Linked DNA regions of Sus scrofa. The protein of the gene in region 1 interacts with the protein of each later gene in a pairwise test. Links are inferred from orthologs where the notes say so. Each region holds a gene or a part of one and is shown on either strand. Other genes may lie near its edges.

Region 1 (6,137 bases):
GAACTGACTACAGGGCTTAAAGTCAGGTCACGTTATGGTTTTAGGATGAGGCCCAAAGGCATGTGAGCCTTCAACATTACCAAAGTCATGGGTGGTCCTTTTCCTGCAGGTAAGCCTAGCTACTGCTGAGTCTGCCCCTCTGGGTCCTAGAGCCCCCTTGGTCCTAGCACTGCCTTCAGCCTCAGGGCAGCAGGACTCTTGGGGGAACACAGTGACCTCCAAGAATGGGTGAGAGGAGCAGGGTGTCTGGGATCCAAGGACATCGGCCCCATGCCTATAGCTGGCCTACTTTGCCCCTCGCCAGGGTTCCCACAGCCCTACCGTCATGCTCTGCATCAAAGGGGCCAAGGGTTGGGGCCATCCTCCTTTGTTAACTCCGGGGTAGTGGGATGATGGTGGGGTGCGTTGCAGCTGCAATCTGTTAGGCCTTCCAATTGACTGCTGCCTTTCTGTAAAACCTGAAGGGGCAATTTCCAGCCTTTTTAAGGCAGCTGACCTGGCCCAGGCCTGGAGCTCCTGGGGTTTGATTATAGGAATTTGGCTGTCAGGCTCTTTCCCATAAACCTGAGTTCCAGTCATGGTAGATGGTGGGGACTGGAATTTGGCTGTCAGGCTCTTTCTTATATACCTGAAGTTCAGTCATAGTATATGGTGGGGAAGGTGTTCTGGGCCTGACCCAGTAGGTAGGAGCCAACAGCCTGTGGGAGATGAACCTCCCCCACTCCTGACCCCTTCTGGTCCACTCACCATTCTGTGCGGCTGCACAGGGACATCCTCCCACCCCAATCCATCCCAGCAATGTGTGGCTATGCACTTCCAGGCCCTGCTGACCTCCTCATCTTTGCTCAAGAACGCCCTTAAGCAGTGAGGCAGGTGAGGGAGAGCAAGGTGAAAGACCTCACCCCCCCCCCCCATTATCAGATGAACTCACTGAGCAACCTGCAGGAGGGCCATGTCTTGTGAGAGGACCAGTACTGAAGGGATACAGATAACATGTGTGGCACCGTGTAAATTCCTCAGTACATTCATCTTATGGTTTCAGTTCAGTAGGAGTTGGCCAATGGAGTGGCACTCCTCTCTGCTCATTAGGACCTCTTATGACTGAATCTATTCTGGTCTGCAGTGATGACAAACCGAACACCCTTGCCCAACAACTAGCTTACTATAGATACTGAGCAGCAAAGACCAAAACTGTTGAATGAGGATCGTCTGCCAGTGAACACCTTGAGGGTGACTGAGGCATTTTCTGTGCTCTTTGAGGTATGAGTGCAATGAGGTGTGCTTCCATACTTTTTTGGGAGCCACACAGCTGGTATCCCCAAGGGTGGAGAACAGGCCAGTGCAGGTGCAACCTGACCTTGGTGGCTCCCGGTTTATAAGGTAGGGAAGCTATAGTAGGGAAACAGTTTCAGACATAGTCTCCCCCAGTGCCTACCCCTCTCCCCAGCACAGGGCCAGAAACAGCACACACTAGCAACGATGACTCGGGGGTGTCACCCACACAACGTGACTCGAATTTATTTTTTAGGGCCGGACCCACAGCATACGGAAGTTCCCAGGCTAGGCGTCTAGCAGGAGCTGCAGCTGCCGGGTCTATGCCACAGCCACAGCCTCACCCACACCAGATCCGAGCCGGTTCTGCGAGCAGCTCATGGCCACACCGGATCCTTAACCCACAGATCCGGTCCAAGGATCAAACCCATGGCCTCATGGATACTAGTCCCTTTCATTACCTGTGACCCACGACAGTGGCTTCCAATAATGCGGCGGTATCTGCCGCAGCCTCCGACTTTGGCCAGGGCCACAGCAGTGCGCAGGCGTTAGAGGCAGGCGGGGGCGGTGCAAGCGCGCATGACGTCACTGCGTGCGACGCGGGGTGGAAACGGGGGCCGGTGGGGCCTGGGTAGCGGGAAGCCGGCACCATGTTCGGCTCCAGCCGGGGTGGAGTGCGCGGTGGGCAGGATCAGTTTAGCTGGGAGGATGTGAAGACTGACAAACAGAGGGAGAACTACCTGGGTGAGCGGGGTGCCGGGACCCAGGGTGGCGGCGGGGGTGTCTCTCGGGCTGGAGGTACGCCAACCTGCAGCGCCGTACCGAGGACTCGGCGCTCGGTATCCCGCAGGCAACTCGCTGATGGCCCCGGTGGGCCGCTGGCAGAAGGGCCGTGACCTCACCTGGTACGCCAAGGGCCGGGCGCACGGCGCGGGGTTGAGCCGGGAACAGGAGCTGGAGGCCGTGAGGCAGGCGGAGCAGGAAGCGCTTATGGCAGCGTTGTGAGTGAGCCTCGGGAGCTTGGGGGCGGGGGGGAATTACCTCCTGGTTGGGGGTAGGGCGGAGACCGGGGCTGGGCGGGGGCGGGGGCGCGGGCCGAGGAGAGGCCCGCCACTCTCTGAAGCTCACGCGCGGCCCCCGCAGAGGCTACAAGAACGTAAGGAAGCAGCCCACGGGCCTGAGCAAGGAGGTGAGAGGTGGGCCCTCTTGGAGGACGGGGGCGGGATGGGGCGGGGGGGCAGACCCCACGCTGTGGTGAGCGCTTGCACTCCCCCCCACCCACAGGACTTTGTCGAAGTCTGTAAGCGGGAAGGAAGTGACCCCGAGAAGGGAGTGGACCGGCTCCTGGGCCTGGGCAGCTCCAGGTGCGGGGCTGGGGAGGTGGTCCTCGGGGACCCCAGAAATCGCGAGGGTGCAATTCCCCGGGGTTCGGCGCTGTCAGCCGCCCAGGTGGAAGCCGTTATGGGTCGTCTGAACTCATCACTTCTCTAGGGAGGCCTACGGGTGGGGATGGGGTGGTCCTCGCTGTCGGGAGAGGGTGTCTCACTGTGGGGGGGGGTCCCCACCCGCGTCCCCGCAGTGGCTCTGCAGGGCGAGTGGCGCTGTCACGGGAAGACAAAGAGGCCGCTAAACTGGGGCTTTCGGTGTTCACGGTAATTCCTCCCGACATCCTGGTTATCCCATGTTGGGGTGGGGGTGGGGATGAGTGTCCCTTCCTGTTGAAAGCCGTGGGGCAAATCGTCTCCCCTCGAAGGGACCCTACTGGCTTTCTGGATGGTTCTCAGGCCCGCACACCCCCAGAGTGGCTTTTCTTGGCAGCACCACCGCGTGGAGAGCAGTCGGCCAGGGGTCTCCCTGGCTTCGGCCAAGAGGAAGCCTCGGTCAGAGGAGAAGGTGGAGCCAGGGTAAGGGCTGGATAAGTGGACCCTACCCGTGCTACTAGGACACAGAACTCGGTTCGCTCTGCATGTTGTTTGCTCCACCAGACAGTAAAATTCCTAGCTCCAGCCTTTTTTTGGGGGGGAGCCGCTGGAGGTTGTGAGCCCTGGGGCGGTTCCACTTGCCCCCTGACTCCTCAGTGGGATCAGGGGCCCAAGAGAATGTTCAGACATGAGTCACTTTCCGGGGTCTGGGGCGGGTGGGGTGGTGAACCACTTCCCCTTCCCGTTGCTTTAGCTGCCCAGCGAGGGGTGTGAGTGGCACAGGAGGGGATCACAATTTGGCCCCAAGAGTGCAGGGTGGAGTGGGAGTGGGGAAAATCGCAGTGGGAGGGTTGGAAAGGGGCCATGAGATCGTCAGATTTTCTGCCACGATTGGAATGCAAGTAAGGGTCTGTGCCCCCGACCGTGGTAGTTGCTGGCTACAGGTGGTACTGAGGAGTTGCCCTTAGTGACTTCAGGTTGAAATGGCTACACATGGTTAGTGGCTACTGCAGCAGCCCCATCCCTGGCTAGATTCCAAAGCCCCAGAGGCACTGGCACTTTGTGTCCCCTTGCAGCCCTGAGAGCCACAGGAAGAGCAAGAAAGAGAAGAAAAAGAAGAAAAAACACAAGAAAGAGAAGAGAAAGAAAGAAAAGGAGCATGGGAGGGGGTCACATTCCTCACTGTCCCCTTCTTCCATCCAGTAGGTGCAGCTGCCTGGGGGTAAAGAGGCGGGGAGTACTGGGCAGGCAGGGGCCCTCAAGCCAGGTGTCCCCCGGTCTCCCTAGGCATGATCCCAACTCCTCGCCTTGTTGCAAGAGGAAGCGCCGGCAGGACAGCAACTGAGATCCAGAGATCTGAAGGGCTAGCCTATGGGGATCACCCCAGGCCTCGAAAGAGGCTTAACTGTGGCCTACTACGGCTGCTTTTATTTTTCTTTGTATTGACTCACTCTTTGTACGTAAATAAACTTATTTTAAGTGGAAAGTGTTTCATACTAAAGGGAAGGTTGCTATCATATGTCATAATAGAAAGTGATGTGTGGGAGTTCCCGTCGTGGCGCAGTGGTTAACAAATCCAACTAGGAACCATGAGGTTGCGGGTTCGGTCCCTGCCCTTGCTCAGTGGGTTAACGATCTGGCGTTGCCGTGAGCTGTGGTGTAGGTTGCAGATGCGGTTTGGATCCCGCGTTGCTGTGGCTCTGGCTTAGGCCAGTGGCTACAACTCCGGATTCGACCCCTAGCCTGGGAACCTCCATATGCTGCAGGAGCGGCCCAAAGAGATAGCAAAAAAAAAAAAAGACAAAAAAAAAAAAAAAAAAGTGATGTGTGAAGATGTGATCTCTTGGGTTCTAGCAAGGCTACCTGTGATCCCACTGGGAAGGGCACTGTCCTTTTGGTGGTCAGCATCTCGGAGTCTCATATTGACCAAGAGCCCTGGGTCATGTGTGGCCAGAAGGAGGCCACACGGGTCAAAGGGGCTCAGCTGCAGAGGGGTGAGCATGCTAGGAGGGGCAACCTGAGCTGGGCACTTAGATCATGAAGAGGTGGACTTGGACTTGTACCTGAGGCCATGCTTGTCTCCCCAGGTCACTAAGGGACTTCCTAACCACTGACTGTCCTACCTACCTCCATGTGTCTGCTGCAAAGGCACTGGGCTCCCTCCCCCTGGCTGGGAGGTGCATACAACCAGGCTGTCCACAGAAAAAAATGAAAACATTTTATAGACACAATAGAATAAAGACAAAACCCAGGCTGGAGTCATTATTATGAGATTCTTATTTCTGATTTTAAAAGAAATGAGGGAATTCTGTCTTCAGAACGGACAACTGGTTTTCAACCTGTCAGACTATTATCTAGGTGGCCTGCCTCCTGGGGGAAGGACACCTGGGCTTTGGCCTGCCAATTGCCCCACCCAGTGTGCCAAGAAGGGCTCCAGGTCAAGAGGGAGGGGGTCTATGGCACAAAGCACCTAGCCAGGCACAATCATTGTAGTAGCAACATGGGAATGTGGCCGGGGGCACTTAGGAAGGGTGAAGGGCCTCCTCCATAAACCACCCCTGGCCCTAGCCTCTTGGGCATACCCCATGTGGTGACCCTGCTGTCCCTTAGAAGCTGGCATTGCAAAGACTGGGACCAAGGGCTGGACTGCCAACAATGAGGCAATGAGGAAGTCACCACAAGGGCACTGGGACATACCCACACCTGGCCACAGGGAAATGAAGATGGGAAGGAGTGGACAGAAAGGGAATGGAACAGGTCAGGGCAATGCTGGCCTCCCTAGGTGAAGACCAAGCTGCTGTCCCTGCCCACCTCTTAGGAGTCAGGCTGTCAATCAGGAGCACCCAAACATGGGAGAGCCACGAAATAGTTAAGAGATTTTATTCTAATAGCTGTAATTACAGTGCTTGTTTGTCGAAATGAAAACTGAAAACAAGTATACAAAACAGTTGATTACTAATCGTGTATTGAAAGCAGTAAGAGGTTCCACGACACCAAATAAACCAGTTCTGAGGTTTTCCCCAAGATAAAGTTTAACAGCTCCAGCTTCTTCAGTGTTTATCAAAATACAAAAGAAAAAAGTAGAGGTTATCATTTTCGATGGCAAATCTGACCCCTGCAGGCTAAGGGCGTGAAAGCACATGTAGACAGGGGCTCCAAGGGGCTGGGGCTCTAGGATGACCACCCATGCTCCTGCTGGTGAGACCCCAGAGAGCCCGGAGCAGGCAAGCAAGGGGACTGCAGGGCTCCCGCTCCAGCCAGAGTGTTCCAACCAAGGTGCCCATGTTGACTCAAGAAAAGGCTGGGGTTCCTCCAAGGGGTCTGGGAGCAGTGGCTGCAGCTCCAGTCCATCTCCTGGGCGGCCATGTGAGCACAAATACAAGCAAAAACGCAATGGGGTGTGGGATGACCCAAGACAGAGCCAATCAGAGGGATCCTATTGTG
Region 2 (6,178 bases), on another chromosome or scaffold:
TACCTAGGTCATCAATCTATAAAGAGCTCTGAAAACATCACTGGAAAAATATTTACCAGCCCTCCTTGCAGGCAGAGTGTTACATGATGTTGGAAAGTCAACTCTGCTAATAAGTTGCTTAGGAGTTGGGGAATGCTCAGAATCACTAATTTTCTTTTAAGGAGAGTGGTTTAACTGCTGGCTTTTGTTCCACTGAGTGTAAGCTGGGGGACTACCACAAGTGGGTTCCTTTTTTCTACCCAAGCTCCTCACAGAGTTCAGCCTCTCCTCCAAACAAATGTTCAGCAGATTGTCAATGAACATTCTTTTTAAAGGAGTAAGGTATTTATTTTTGTTTTCTTAGGGCCACACTCATGGCATATGGAGGTTCCCAGGCTAGGGGTCAAATTGGAGCTGTAGCTACCGACCTATGCCACAGCCACAGCAACGCCAGATAAGTACAACACCACCACAGCTGCATCTACACTACAGCTCATGGCAACACTGGATCCTTAACACACCGAGCAAGGCCAGGGATTGAACCTGTGTCCTCATGGGTGATAGTCAGATTCGTTTCTGTTGAGCCACAAAGGGGAACTCCATAAGGAGAAAGGTTTTTAAATTTTTATTTTTATTTATTTTTTGGGCTATGCCTACAGCATGTGGAAATTTATGGACCAGGGATCGAACCCATGCCACAGGAGCCACTGGGGCTGCTGCAGTGATAGCCCTGGACCCTCAACCTGCTGCACCAACATGGAAGTCCACGGGTATGTTTTTTAGGGTTGCCAAATTATGAACCTACCCAGGATGCCCACAGCTCTTGGTCTGGCCCTGACTCTGGCATTATTCTGTAACAGGGATGAGGACAGTCTAGTTCGTGCTTAGAAATGATTTTGTACATGAAGAGCAGAGTTTGAGGTTAGGCGGGTGAAAGTTTCAGTTTTGGTTCTGTCTCTTCCTGAGTAGAGCCCCAGCTAAACCTTATTTCCCTCAGCTATAAAACAGAGGAATACTGACTCTGCATCCAAGATGGCCAAGATACTAGGTTGAGCGAGAACCACAGGATATAGAATCTTTCTGTTTCAGAATTTTGTTTCCACATCTGGAAACCACCTCTAGGCTTGCCCATTCCCTCAGGTCCTGTATGGGGCACTTACAGAGATCTTTGACACAAGCGTACTGCTGGTTGCTGTAGAGTGGGGAGCTATAGGCCCGACGGAAACCAGGGGGCTGTAGGATGGGATGGGAGAAAGCATTAGAGATAACAAGGTAGAGCCCCAAACCCCACCTCTCCCATGAACGTCCACCCTTTCTTGGAGTAAAAGATAGGCTGAGGAAGAAAAAGCAGGGAAATGGATGGGATGCCTTGAGGAGGGACCGGCAAGGAGGTAGCGGGCAACATGTCCCCTCCCTTCTACTTTCTTGCTCCCCAGAGCCTACTCACGATCTTGCCGAAGCATCTCTGCATCTCCACGTAGGACTGACAGTGTTCGTGGATGTTAGTTTTGCAGTTCTTACAGCGAAGCCCAAATTTGTTGTTGACTTGGGAGATGGGGAGAACATTTGCGTGAGGTTCCTGATTGCCCTTTCCCTTCCTAACACTGCTGCTACTCTAGTTCTCAGGTCCCTTTTCAGTATAGGACCTGACACTCTCCATCTCTGCAGTAGTTTCTTAAAGCTAAATCTTGCCACAGCCTATCTGATGTACAAATACTCCTCTCCTAAATCCTTTCCCCTGCCCCCTGCCTTTGGCATCACACTCTCCACTTCCCTCTGTGACTCACGCACAATCATCCGGGCGCAGACGTCACAGAACTTGGGCTTCTTGAAGAAGTGATCTTTGAATTTGTGGGGCTTATCATTGACAAGCTTGGGAGGTTCTGGGAGTGGTTCTTCTTCCTCTTCCTCCTCTTCTTCCTCTTCCTCATAGATGTAGTAGATGGGCCCACCCCCAGCTCCCACTGCCTCCCCATTGGCCTGGGGCTCTGGGGGAAGCTCCATCTCCTTTGTCCCTGTAGACTCCTTCCTAAATAACTGCTTCAGCCGCTGTAGCTGAGGGAGGGAAGGAAGGAAGGAGGGAAGGAAGGAAACCCAGTGTTAAAGGAACTGTCTTGCTTTTTAGAGTAGGTCAGGCTGAAGCTAACTAGACATTCTTCAAGCTTGGGGCAAGGGGCACACCCCAGGATTAGGGGGTCCTGGGGCCTGTAGGTGCTAGCTAGCATTTGAACAATACATGAATCGTATACAAGTGAGATCAATTCAAGCAATTTTCTTCAAGACTGCAGTGGCTTCCCAGCTCCCCATACCCCATGGTCAAGGCCCAGACTCACCCCACTTTGCCGAGTCTCTCCTGGGAAGGAGGGCTTATGGGACTCCAGCACCTCCTTTTCTGTCATCCTGCAAGAGGTTGACCTCACTATGAAATCTAATCTCTGAATGACATTCTTCCCCCCTTGTTCCTGTCCCTTGCAGTAGGGTGGTCCTTGAAGGGGAGGCTTTGGGAGAAATTTGGTTAAACAGAGATTCTTTCACAGACAGGGGCAAGGAGCAGAAAGATTCCAGAAAGGCCCAGAGAAAAGCCCAACAGACAAAAGAACTTCCCTACCAACTCCTTAAACCAATGACCATCCTTCTATCCTGATGGGCAACCCCAGAGTTTACTGCCCTGAGACAGTGCACAAGGCTGTGTGGTTTAGGCATTTTCCTACAAGCACTTTGTTTCTCTTGGGAATCTGTGGGCTTTGGTTTTTATTTATTTATTTTTGTCTTTTTCTAGGGCTGCACTCGTGGCATAGGGAGGTTCCCAGGCTAGCGGTCTAATTAGAGCTGCAGCTGCCGGCCTACACCACAGCCGCAGCAATGCCGGCTCCTTACCCCACTGAGCAAGGCCAGGGATCAAACCCGCAACCTCATGGTTCCTAGTCGGATTCGTTAACCACTGAGCCATGATGGCAACTCCAAGGGAATCTGTGGGCTTTAGAAATGTGACACACACCTTCCCAGATCCCCTTTCAAGAGGTTTAATGTGCATGTCCACAAGTGCGCATAGAGGGATGGGCTGGGGACATTTGTTCTCTCCTACCTTTCTTGAGCTCAGGGGCCCGGTGCCTAGTTCCCTAGTTCCCAGCCTGCCTCAGGCTTCAGCTATTTTAAGTTTTCAGAGTAATATGAGACTTTCCTTCCCTTACTACTCTACTCCCCTGACCCCACCCCCACCCTACCCTTCAATCCTAACTCTTGTCCTGGAGTAGCTTAATAATTTCACTCCTAAAACCCAAACTACTCACAGACAATGAGAGAAATGAAGAAGCTGAATAGACTACGGATTGGGGAAGCTGGGGTGAGAAGTCCTGGAAACGCAAAGAGGATGAAGAGGCAACTTACGTTTGGGATTCCCTAAGTCAGTCCACAGTCTGTGGAGAAAAGAGGGAGCCCCTGGGGTCTTGATGGTGGTGCTGGGGGAGGACTGGTCCTCTTCCTTGGGGGCTAAGCCCCCCCAGTACCCTCTGTACTCACACCAGCTACCCAGACGGTATTTGTAGACCTCCTAGCCTCTCGCCTTGGTGTCAGAGCTGAAATGACAGGGCTGGAGGAAAGTGGACAGCTGAGCGACACAGCTGACACAGAGAAATTGGACACGAGGAGGTCTGGGCAGGGCTGGACCCTAACTCCTCCCATCCCCCCACACTGCTGTTGCTTGGTTTTTCATCCACGGTGTGCAGTTCAGCATTGGCTAAACTCAGGAGGGGACAGTGTCCATGCTGGACACTTGCGTGGCTGATTTTAGATGACTTACAAACAGCCTTATCCATCCCCTTTCCCCCAAGGTCTCAATACCTCCCCGATTCTCCCCTCCTTGAACCTGTTTTAGGAACTAGCCTTTGACTTCTTAGCCATTGTCTTCTTGTGGTCCCTGTCTTGTTTTTATACCCTCAAGCATCGATCTAGGCTCCAACAGTAAGAAAGCTTGGAAACTGGTCAAGAAAGGATAATTTGGATTTCCAGAGCTCAGCCAAACTAGATTGCCTTTTTTTTTTTTTTTTTTTTTTGGCCGTGCTCACGGCATGCATAAATTAATTCCCGGACCAGGAATTGAACCCATGTCACAGCAGCAACCAGAGCCATAGAAGTGATAATGCCGGGTCTTTAAACCACTGAGCCACTAGGGATCTCCTAGATGGCCTTCCTGCCCATGAGCAGTGGCTGCTATCTGGTAAGGCAGTGACGACACGCAGTATTGCTTTGTTCCCTCCAGCTGCCCCCAGAGATCTTTTCCCTATTTCTCTAAAGTCTTGTCCTCAGGGTGAAAGGAATTCTAAGAGCTATTTTAAAAAGTCAGGCTGGGACTTCCACCTGAGGGTCTCTGAGGGAGTGAGGGTCCAATGATCACAGAGATGGTTTCATTAACATTGCACAGAAGGCAAGAGTTGTCACATTGGGAGTTTTTATCATCTGTAAGTAAGTCTCCTTCCTCATGGGAGCTGCAAACTCTTGGAGACAGGATGGCCAAGCCTCACATTTCCTTCATCATTCTGACTCCCTGATTCCTTCTCTTTCTGATGATGTCCTGGCATATGAACTGATGGGTCAATGAGATAGTTGGCATTCTTTTTTTTGGAGGGGGGTCTTTTTAGGGCTGCACCTTCGGCATATGGAAATTCCCAGGCTAGAGTCAAATTGGAGCTGCAGCTGCCAGCCTATACCACACCACAGTCACAGCAACGTGGGATCCGAGCCTTGTCTGTGACCTACACCACAGCTTACAGCAACACCGGATCCTTTGACTCAATGAGTGGGTCCAGGGATGGAACCTGCATCCTCAGGGACATTAGCTGGGTTCATTACTGCTGAGCCACAACAGGAACTCTGATATCTGGCATTCTTTTTTTTTTTTTTTTTTTTTTTTTTTTGTCTTTTTGCTATTTCTTGGGCCGCTCTCGCGGCATATGGAGGTTCCCAGGCTAGGGGTTGAATCGCAGCTGTAGCCACTGGCCTACACCAGAGCCACATCAACGCGGGATCCGAGCCGCGTCTGTAACCTACACCACAGCTCACAGCAACGCTGGATCGTTAACCCACTGAGCAAGGGCAGGGACTAAACCTGCAACCTCATGGTTCCTAGTCGGATTCTTTAACCACTGCGCCACGACGGGAACTCCATATCTGGCATTCTTATCTCCCAGGCAAGCAGGCTTTTCCTAGTCTGGGCTTGACATGGCTGAAAGAGGAGATACTCCCATCTTGGAGAGCGATTAGAAGGTGGTAACTCGGGGTGGGTGATATTGAAAAGGGGCTGCTGTGTGGTTCTGGTCAACGGGCTCTGTAGTGGCCCTGGTTTGACTGGCTGAACAAGGCTAGCTTTGTGAAGACAGGAGAGCTCTGTCTTGTGGGTGACTGACTTTTGCTCTTTACCTTTCTTCAGCTGCCCGGGTCAGGGACTGCTGAACACACCTGGATGGTATGGCATCTTGGCACAGCAAGTTCAATTGATACAGCTTTTATTGTAAGAAACATCCACTTCTGTTCCTGCCATGTAGAACCTAATCCTCTGGCTTTGCGATTAAAGAAAGGCCCATGTCCTCCATCCCTGAAGAATTTTCAGAAGATGAGATGGATAAATATAAGGCCAGCAACTCAACCCCATTTCAGACCTCACTCATACCCTTCTGGATTAGCTACCAGGGCAATAAATGAATATCACAGAGTTAACAGGGTAGAAGGAAACTTGGAGGTCACTTAGTCCAAGTCTCTTATATTACCGCTAAGAACTCAGAGGTCCACAGTTGAGAACACTATGCTTGATAAACCACAGTTAGTGGCAGACCCAGTCATCCATCTATTTGTAAGGAGGAGGACGGGATTCAGGGAAATCGTGTTAGGAAGACATGTGTGCCTATGCCAGAGAAAGCCATTCCAGCCCACGTCAAATCCCTCCAACAGCTGTGGGCTGTATTTACCCAGGACCTCCATCTCCCCCGCCCCCTGCCCCCCACCCCCACTAGAGCGGCAACAGAAAAACAGGGACTGATGTCCAGTGACAGATTTTTTTTTTTATATTTAAAAACAAAATCAACCTCCCCCCAAGCCCCCCCAAACAAACAAAAAAATCAGATTAAATAAAATTTACAGTGAATATACCCAGCAAACATCTGTATGTGCAATTAAATACTGTGTCTGTTACTGCGGCACAAACCTC
Region 3 (6,146 bases), on another chromosome or scaffold:
ATTTACTTCTGGAGCTGACTAAATAGCTAGGAAAACAAGTGATAAGGGGAATACTTTCTCACCATGTATGACCATGCGCTCTGATGTTATTTAAACTGCCTGGATACCACCTAAAACCTTCCGGTGGGGAGTACCACCAGGGTTCCAAGGAACCTCTCTTTGAGAAATAGCAATATAATATCATTGGCTTTTAAAACTGAGCAGAATAATGGCAGTCCTCTAAGTTCATTGCATGAAGCATATTCCTTCATCACCAACTCTTCAGTTTCTCTTCCATTCTTCCATTACTATGTTCTCTGGTTTTTGGGTTCTTCCTTGTGTGTATCCAATGCTTCCAATATGTGGTCTCTGCACATACTGAATCCTCTTACCGTTCTGAAACTCAGTTTTCCAAATCTGCAAGATTCAGACGGTGATAGTTCCTTTCTTATGGAGTTGTTGACAAGGATTAAATGTGATAATGTTTATCAAGGGTCTAGCATAAATGGTGACTAGAGCATAGGACATAGTAATACTTACTCGATATGTGCAATTATTACTCTGAGATAGTAATGAATGTGTTTGTCTTATAGACTCTTGGGACCTATTACAACCAAGGAAGGAGAATACTTTTGGCTTATCCATGTTAGTCCAGGGACATTTGAAGCAGTGCGTATTCTAGAAGAAAAATGGGCAATAAATGATGATGGTGGGATTCAGGTTAGACATGAGGTAGAACTTTGAAGAAGTGAGGATTAGTAAGCCCTGAGTAGTACAATCATTTTTTTTCTCCCCAAAAGTCTATAGGAAAAATACAGAATCTTGTAAATTGAATAGTTTAGCGTGATCCTGTGTAAGGGCACAAAGACAGATGAATTGGTCTCATTACCATATTTCCCATTATCTCAGTAATTATTTGAATCATTCACTGTTCACTGGACACTTGAAAATGGGTACAGACTTAAGAACCCTGATGTCCCTTGATGGTGGATAATGATCGGCCATATCAGTCAAAGTAGTTATGGACAGAGAGAGTAAGGGGTTTACCCCAGTAAGATAGTAATGTCAATGAGGTGGGATTTGAACTGCCTCTGGAGGAGAGGTAGCTATTTCTCTGAGCTGGTGTTTTTTGGATCATTAGGGAGAAGGAGGTATAAGAATCTCTTTTGCTCCTGCTTTAGATTACCTGGGTTTGCAAATCCTAGAATCACTTCTTCCTGGTCTCCCCTTTTTCTAATACAAGAACAGTGCCAATTAGGTAAAGAAGAGCCCTTTAGACATGGCTGGAAAATTGATTTTTTTTTTCATTTTTTTCTTCATCTTTTTTTCCCCCATCTTTTAAAGCTTCGTTGAAGTATGGTTGATATACAATATTGGTATAATTTTTTTTTTTTTGGTCTTTTTGCTATTTCTTGGTCTTGGGCCGCTCCCGCGGCATATGGAGATTCCCAGGCTAGGGGTTGAATCGGAGCTGTAGCCACCGGCCTACACCAGAGCCACAGCAACGCGGGATCCGAGCTGAGTCTGCAACCTACACCACAGCTCACGGCAACGCTGGATCGTTAACCCACTGAGCAAGGGCAGGGACCAAACCCGCAACCTCATGGTTCCTAGTCGGATTCGTTAACCACTGCGCCACGATGGGAACTCCGGATAATTTCTGCTGTACAACTAAGTGGTTCAGTTATACATATACACACCTCCATTCTTTTTCAGATTCTTTGCCCATATAGATGTGTCAAACTGATTTTTATTAGAATGCCAAATCCAGCCAGTCGGTGCTGGCTATCTAGAGAATGTGTTGAGAAGGATTCCGAGGTCTTATCCAGAAAGGTGTTGTCACTGGCATAGTGTAGAGAATAGGCAGCGATTGTGTCACATGTTCCTATTAATTTACTAGCATACTGAAATGTCTCAGTTTAAGCAGTGGGCTGCCTGCACCTTGGAAAACAGAGCAGTATCCTGAGGGAATGAGAACAAGATGGTTATGTATTCATAATATGATGGAGGAACTGGAGTTTGAGTCCCATCAGAGAAGTCGGACCTGAAGTCTATTTACACCCAGGGTATTTGATTTTTATAGAATCTTTGTATAACTGCTGAAGAAACTGAGGTATAGACAAGTGAAGTCAATCTTCCAAGATCACACATTTAGGAAATGGCAGAGCTGGGATTTGAACCCAGGCAGTCTGGCTTTGAGGCCCTGAATTTATCACCCAAGACTCCCAACTTAGAAGTCTCAACAGGAGTTCCTGTCATGGCACAGCGGAAACGAATCCGACTAGGAACCATGAGGTTTCTGGTTTGATCCCTGGCCTCGCTCAGTGGGTTAAGGATCTGGCATTGCCCTGAGCTGTGGTGTAGGTCGCAGACACAGATCTGGCATTGCTGTGGCTCCGTAGGCTGGCAGCTACAGCTCCAATTCGACCCCTTGCCTGGGAACCTCCATATGCCACAGGTGCGGCCCTAATAAGACAACAAGAAAAGAAAAAGAAGTCTCAACCCTGTGTGCTTCTCAGTACGTGGTTCCTTTGGTATCTGGCAGTTTTTACACTGCCCACCCTGGGGTGCCTGGTATCTTGAGACCCCTCATTCCCCAAGTGAAAACAGAAACTGCTTTGTACAGACTCCTTTGCTCCCTGTAGAATCACCTTAGGCAAATCACTTGACCATCCTACACCTCAACTTCCTCACCTTTAAAGTGCAGTTAAGAACAGCTTCCCCTCCCACCTTCCCTGGCTGCTATTCAGGTTCAAAAGAGGCAAATCTGTGCAAATGGGAACGTTATCAACAGTCGAAGAACTTAGAGCTGGAACAGGCTGGGAAAGGTTGATAGATCTTGTGGGGGTAGGATCCTAGCTACCTCTTCCCTGCAAGTGACTCAGTTTAGACCCCAAATGTCATGACTAAGGATGGTTTTAAATATCCCAGGCTACTTAAAGAGCCAGTTCTCAAAGGCATTTAAAGTGACACTAATTTCGATATAGGAAATAGCACCTAAGAGTGATCGGAGACGGGAGAGTTTGGGGCCGGAGGGAGAGATGGTGGTGCTTTTGAGCCTAGTCTCCACTTTCTCCTCCATCTCCAAACTCCCCAGCCCTACCTCCAACTCCCGACTGGGACAACCCACTTGAAGAAGCCAGCAAATGCATCTCTTGTTTTTTACCAGAAGGGGTCACTGCAGAGCGAGCAGCGCACTCAGGCACTCAAACAAGCAGGCACGCAAATATCCAAATGCACGCATATCCACAGGAAGATACATTTCTGGGCTAATACCTGGATACTCCAGAGTTCGCTCTGCCTGCCTCCTCCCCTGTTTCTCCTATTCCCCTCCTGTTCCCTTTCAAAGAATGTCTGAAGTTCACATTGGTGCCCTAGTCCCCTGGATCCCCATCGTCCTCATCATCAGCAAGAAACAAGAGTTTATTTCCGCTGGGGCTGAAAACCAGAGCCCTCATAGGCCTTTAAGACTTGGCAAAGCCTCCTTCCAAGAATGTGCAGTCTAGGGAGTGGGGGTAGCAACTCTGCTGAGAGTAAAGGACTCCAAGGGAAAGATGGGCAGAGGGGTCCAGCATTTCTTTTTCTTAATGAAAACCCTGGGGCTGAAGGAAAGAAAGTCTCTGCATCTAGGTTTTATTATGATTCTGAACTTCCACCCTCTGGGATTAGGGTCGGACTGCTAGAGGGTAGAAGAGGAGAGAAACTGAAAAGTAACCATCCCCCTATAATCCTCATATTTCCCCCCTCAAACCCCTACCCCTAAGAGCTTTCTCTTTCACAACTGACTCCTCTCCCAAGAGAAGCTGTATTAAGAAAAAGTGGCTGCAGCTGAGTTCCCTAGGAGTGGACGGCATGGGGTGGGGGCGGGGGCACACTTTCCTTTGGATGGGTTGACAGCGGGACGTTGGGCGGGCTGGCTGTGAGGCACAAAAGAGATGTCCCTTAGAGCCGCGTGCACAGATGCAAGGCTGCACCCCTCTGCGGGCGGGGCCGGCTCGGCAGATGGCGAGAGGCCGAATTGCTGACGGATTGTCCATCAAATGGCACTTTTGGGTGGTGGGGATCTCTCAGCACTCTGGCGCAAAGAGAAATTCAGGAAACAAGCCCCCCCCCCCATTTTACTGCTGTATAGACAGTCCCTCCCAGAAGTGTGTGGCGGGGGGGCAGGTTGGCTTGGGCGGACAGATTAAGTTTTTTTCTCTCTCCGTCTATAGAAGATCTAGGAGATTTACGAACGGGGTGGGAAGGGAGAAGGCCGGGCCCAGAGGGCGCACAAGAAAGGGTAGGGGGAAGGCTCGCGGTGGTAGGGGAGGAGAGGGGGCTGGGAAGCAGGATCTCACGGCTGGTTCAGTTCAGGGTTCCGGATTGCTTTTCTCGGGGGTCAACGCTGCAACTCTGTAGCCGCGGGGCCCGGGTGACAGGCGCACGCCCCGCCCTTTCTCCTCCCAAGACCTGCGGGCTTTTGTTATGCAGATGGCGGCAGGAGGCAGAGTCGGAGGAGGAGGGAGTTGGTGAGGAGGAGGAGAGGCGGAGAGGCGGAGAGGAAAGTGCAGCTCGCGCGACCAGCCTCCTCTTCCAACGTCACATTGTGAGAGAGACAAAACCCGGGCGCGCCGGAGCTCACACGCGCACGCACACACAGACGACCCCGTCGCCTCTTCTCTCCAGCGCTGCCGAGAAAGCCAGCCCTCCCTTCCCTTCCTGGGGTGCGGAGGCTCAGTAAGCTCAGAGTGCAGCCCAGAGCCAACCCAGAAGGCGAAGAGAACCGACGGACAAGCCTTCTTTCTCCCCCGCCTGCCCGAGCTGAGGCGCCCCCTCCCCCGCCCTGAACCCCGATCTCTCTCACCCCACCCCTTTCGGTTTCACGCGGACAGAGACCGGAGCCCGGTGTGCCCCCGTTTGGAATCCACGATTCAGCACTTCGGACAGCGCCCCGGAGCCCCGGGCCCTTGGGGTTGGCTATGGCGAGCGTTCAGCAAGGAGAGAAACAGCTTTTTGAGAAGTTCTGGCGAGGAACCTTTAAAGCCGTGGCCACCCCGCGTCCTGAGAGCATCATTGTTGCCAGTATCACCGCCCGCAAGCCGCTGCCAAGGTAAATGACCTCCTGCTTATGAGGGGAGACTGGATGGTCCCCATTTCTGGCCTGTGCCCCGGAGTCCAGAGGGGTGGATGCAGGCAGCTGGGCCAGGGCGCCGGTCTTTTCCCATCACTACTCTGTATCTCCCACTGGAGCATGGGAACTAATTGCTTATGTGAGGTAGAAGCTGGTGAGAAGGGACAGAGAGTCTTTAGGGGGAGCAACGCTCAATCAGCTGACCTGGCAGCTGCTGTGTAAGAGGTTTTGCTGTCTCTGGGTGGACAGTGCAGGTGGGAGACGACTTGACTAAAAAACTTTTCTTGGTATCACAGAGCTCAGAGGGCAGAGGGTGAAGGCATGGTGGATTTGAGGTGATGAGGGTTGTACCAGAAGAGAAGATGAGAACTAAACTAGCTCAAGCCTTGTTCAGAGACAGTGGCACATTTCTATACTCAGCTCAGAAACTAGCGAGCTCTGACTGTTTTGACAAAAGCCCATATGCTGTTCCCTCAAATACACCCTAAACAGCACCCTCCTCCATGCCTTTCTGGCTGCTGCTGTTGCTGCTGCTGAATTATCTCGTCTCCAGCATCCAAAACCAGGACTCTGAGCTTGAGAGTCAGGGAGGAGCCTTCCAAGATTGTGAAGATGGTCTTGGAAGAGTTTTATCTGGTTTTTCAAAAAGAATCCAGTTGCTTTGAACTCAGGCGTAAGAACCGACCCTTAGGTGGTGGAGGAAATGTTATGATGGGGGCAGGATAAAGGAGGAAATGAAAGAAAGGCAGAAAGAGGAAGAAGAGGATGTGGGATAAAACTGGGAGGAGGCTGGGGAAAACAGAAGCGTTCCAAGACAAAGAAAACCCAATTCTTTTCACAAAGCTTTCTATTTAGTGGAGCTCGAAAATGAAAGGAAGAAGGCTGTGCCCTCTGTCAGGGCACATCAAGGCTGTATGGAAAGTCATCTTTTGCTGGTGTTGGATGAGTGGTTGGGTGGGAGAAAAAGAAAGAAGTGGACCAGGGGAGACCACTTGGGGGACTGATTAATCTTGGCAGGCTACATTAAGGAGTAGGTTGAAAATATGCCTGGAAA

What was found.
Region 2: the proteins of C2H1orf35 (region 1) and STAC3 interact in binary tests that used the Homo sapiens proteins (3 or more experiments, as listed by UniProt). The two-hybrid records come from large-scale screens. The link is inferred for Sus scrofa from reciprocal best matches to the Homo sapiens genes C1orf35 and STAC3.
Region 3: the proteins of C2H1orf35 (region 1) and SRRM4 interact in binary tests that used the Homo sapiens proteins (3 or more experiments, as listed by UniProt). The link is inferred for Sus scrofa from reciprocal best matches to the Homo sapiens genes C1orf35 and SRRM4.

Annotation. Positions count from the first base shown.
Region 1 is NC_010444.4:51,237,060-51,243,196, reverse strand, and holds C2H1orf35 (multiple myeloma tumor-associated protein 2), read left to right. Parts: upstream 1-1,871; 5' UTR 1,872-1,922; coding exon 1,923-2,016; intron 2,017-2,122; coding exon 2,123-2,273; intron 2,274-2,415; coding exon 2,416-2,461; intron 2,462-2,556; coding exon 2,557-2,636; intron 2,637-2,851; coding exon 2,852-2,924; intron 2,925-3,025; coding exon of another isoform or gene 3,026-3,090; coding exon 3,091-3,176; intron 3,177-3,769; coding exon 3,770-3,895; intron 3,896-3,980; coding exon 3,981-4,038; downstream 4,039-6,137.
Region 2 is NC_010447.5:22,552,633-22,558,810, forward strand, and holds the start of STAC3 (SH3 and cysteine-rich domain-containing protein 3), read right to left. Parts: upstream 3,699-6,178; 5' UTR 3,367-3,698; intron 2,478-3,366; 5' UTR 2,379-2,477; coding exon 2,313-2,378; intron 2,035-2,312; coding exon 1,767-2,034; intron 1,525-1,766; coding exon 1,427-1,524; intron 1,213-1,426; coding exon 1,140-1,212; intron 1-1,139. UniProt on the Homo sapiens protein: Required for normal excitation-contraction coupling in skeletal muscle and for normal muscle contraction in response to membrane depolarization. Required for normal Ca(2+) release from the sarcplasmic reticulum, which ultimately leads to muscle contraction.
Region 3 is NC_010456.5:33,815,162-33,821,307, reverse strand, and holds the start of SRRM4 (serine/arginine repetitive matrix protein 4), read left to right. Parts: upstream 1-2,448; 5' UTR 2,449-4,940; coding exon 4,941-5,071; intron 5,072-6,146. UniProt on the Homo sapiens protein: Splicing factor specifically required for neural cell differentiation.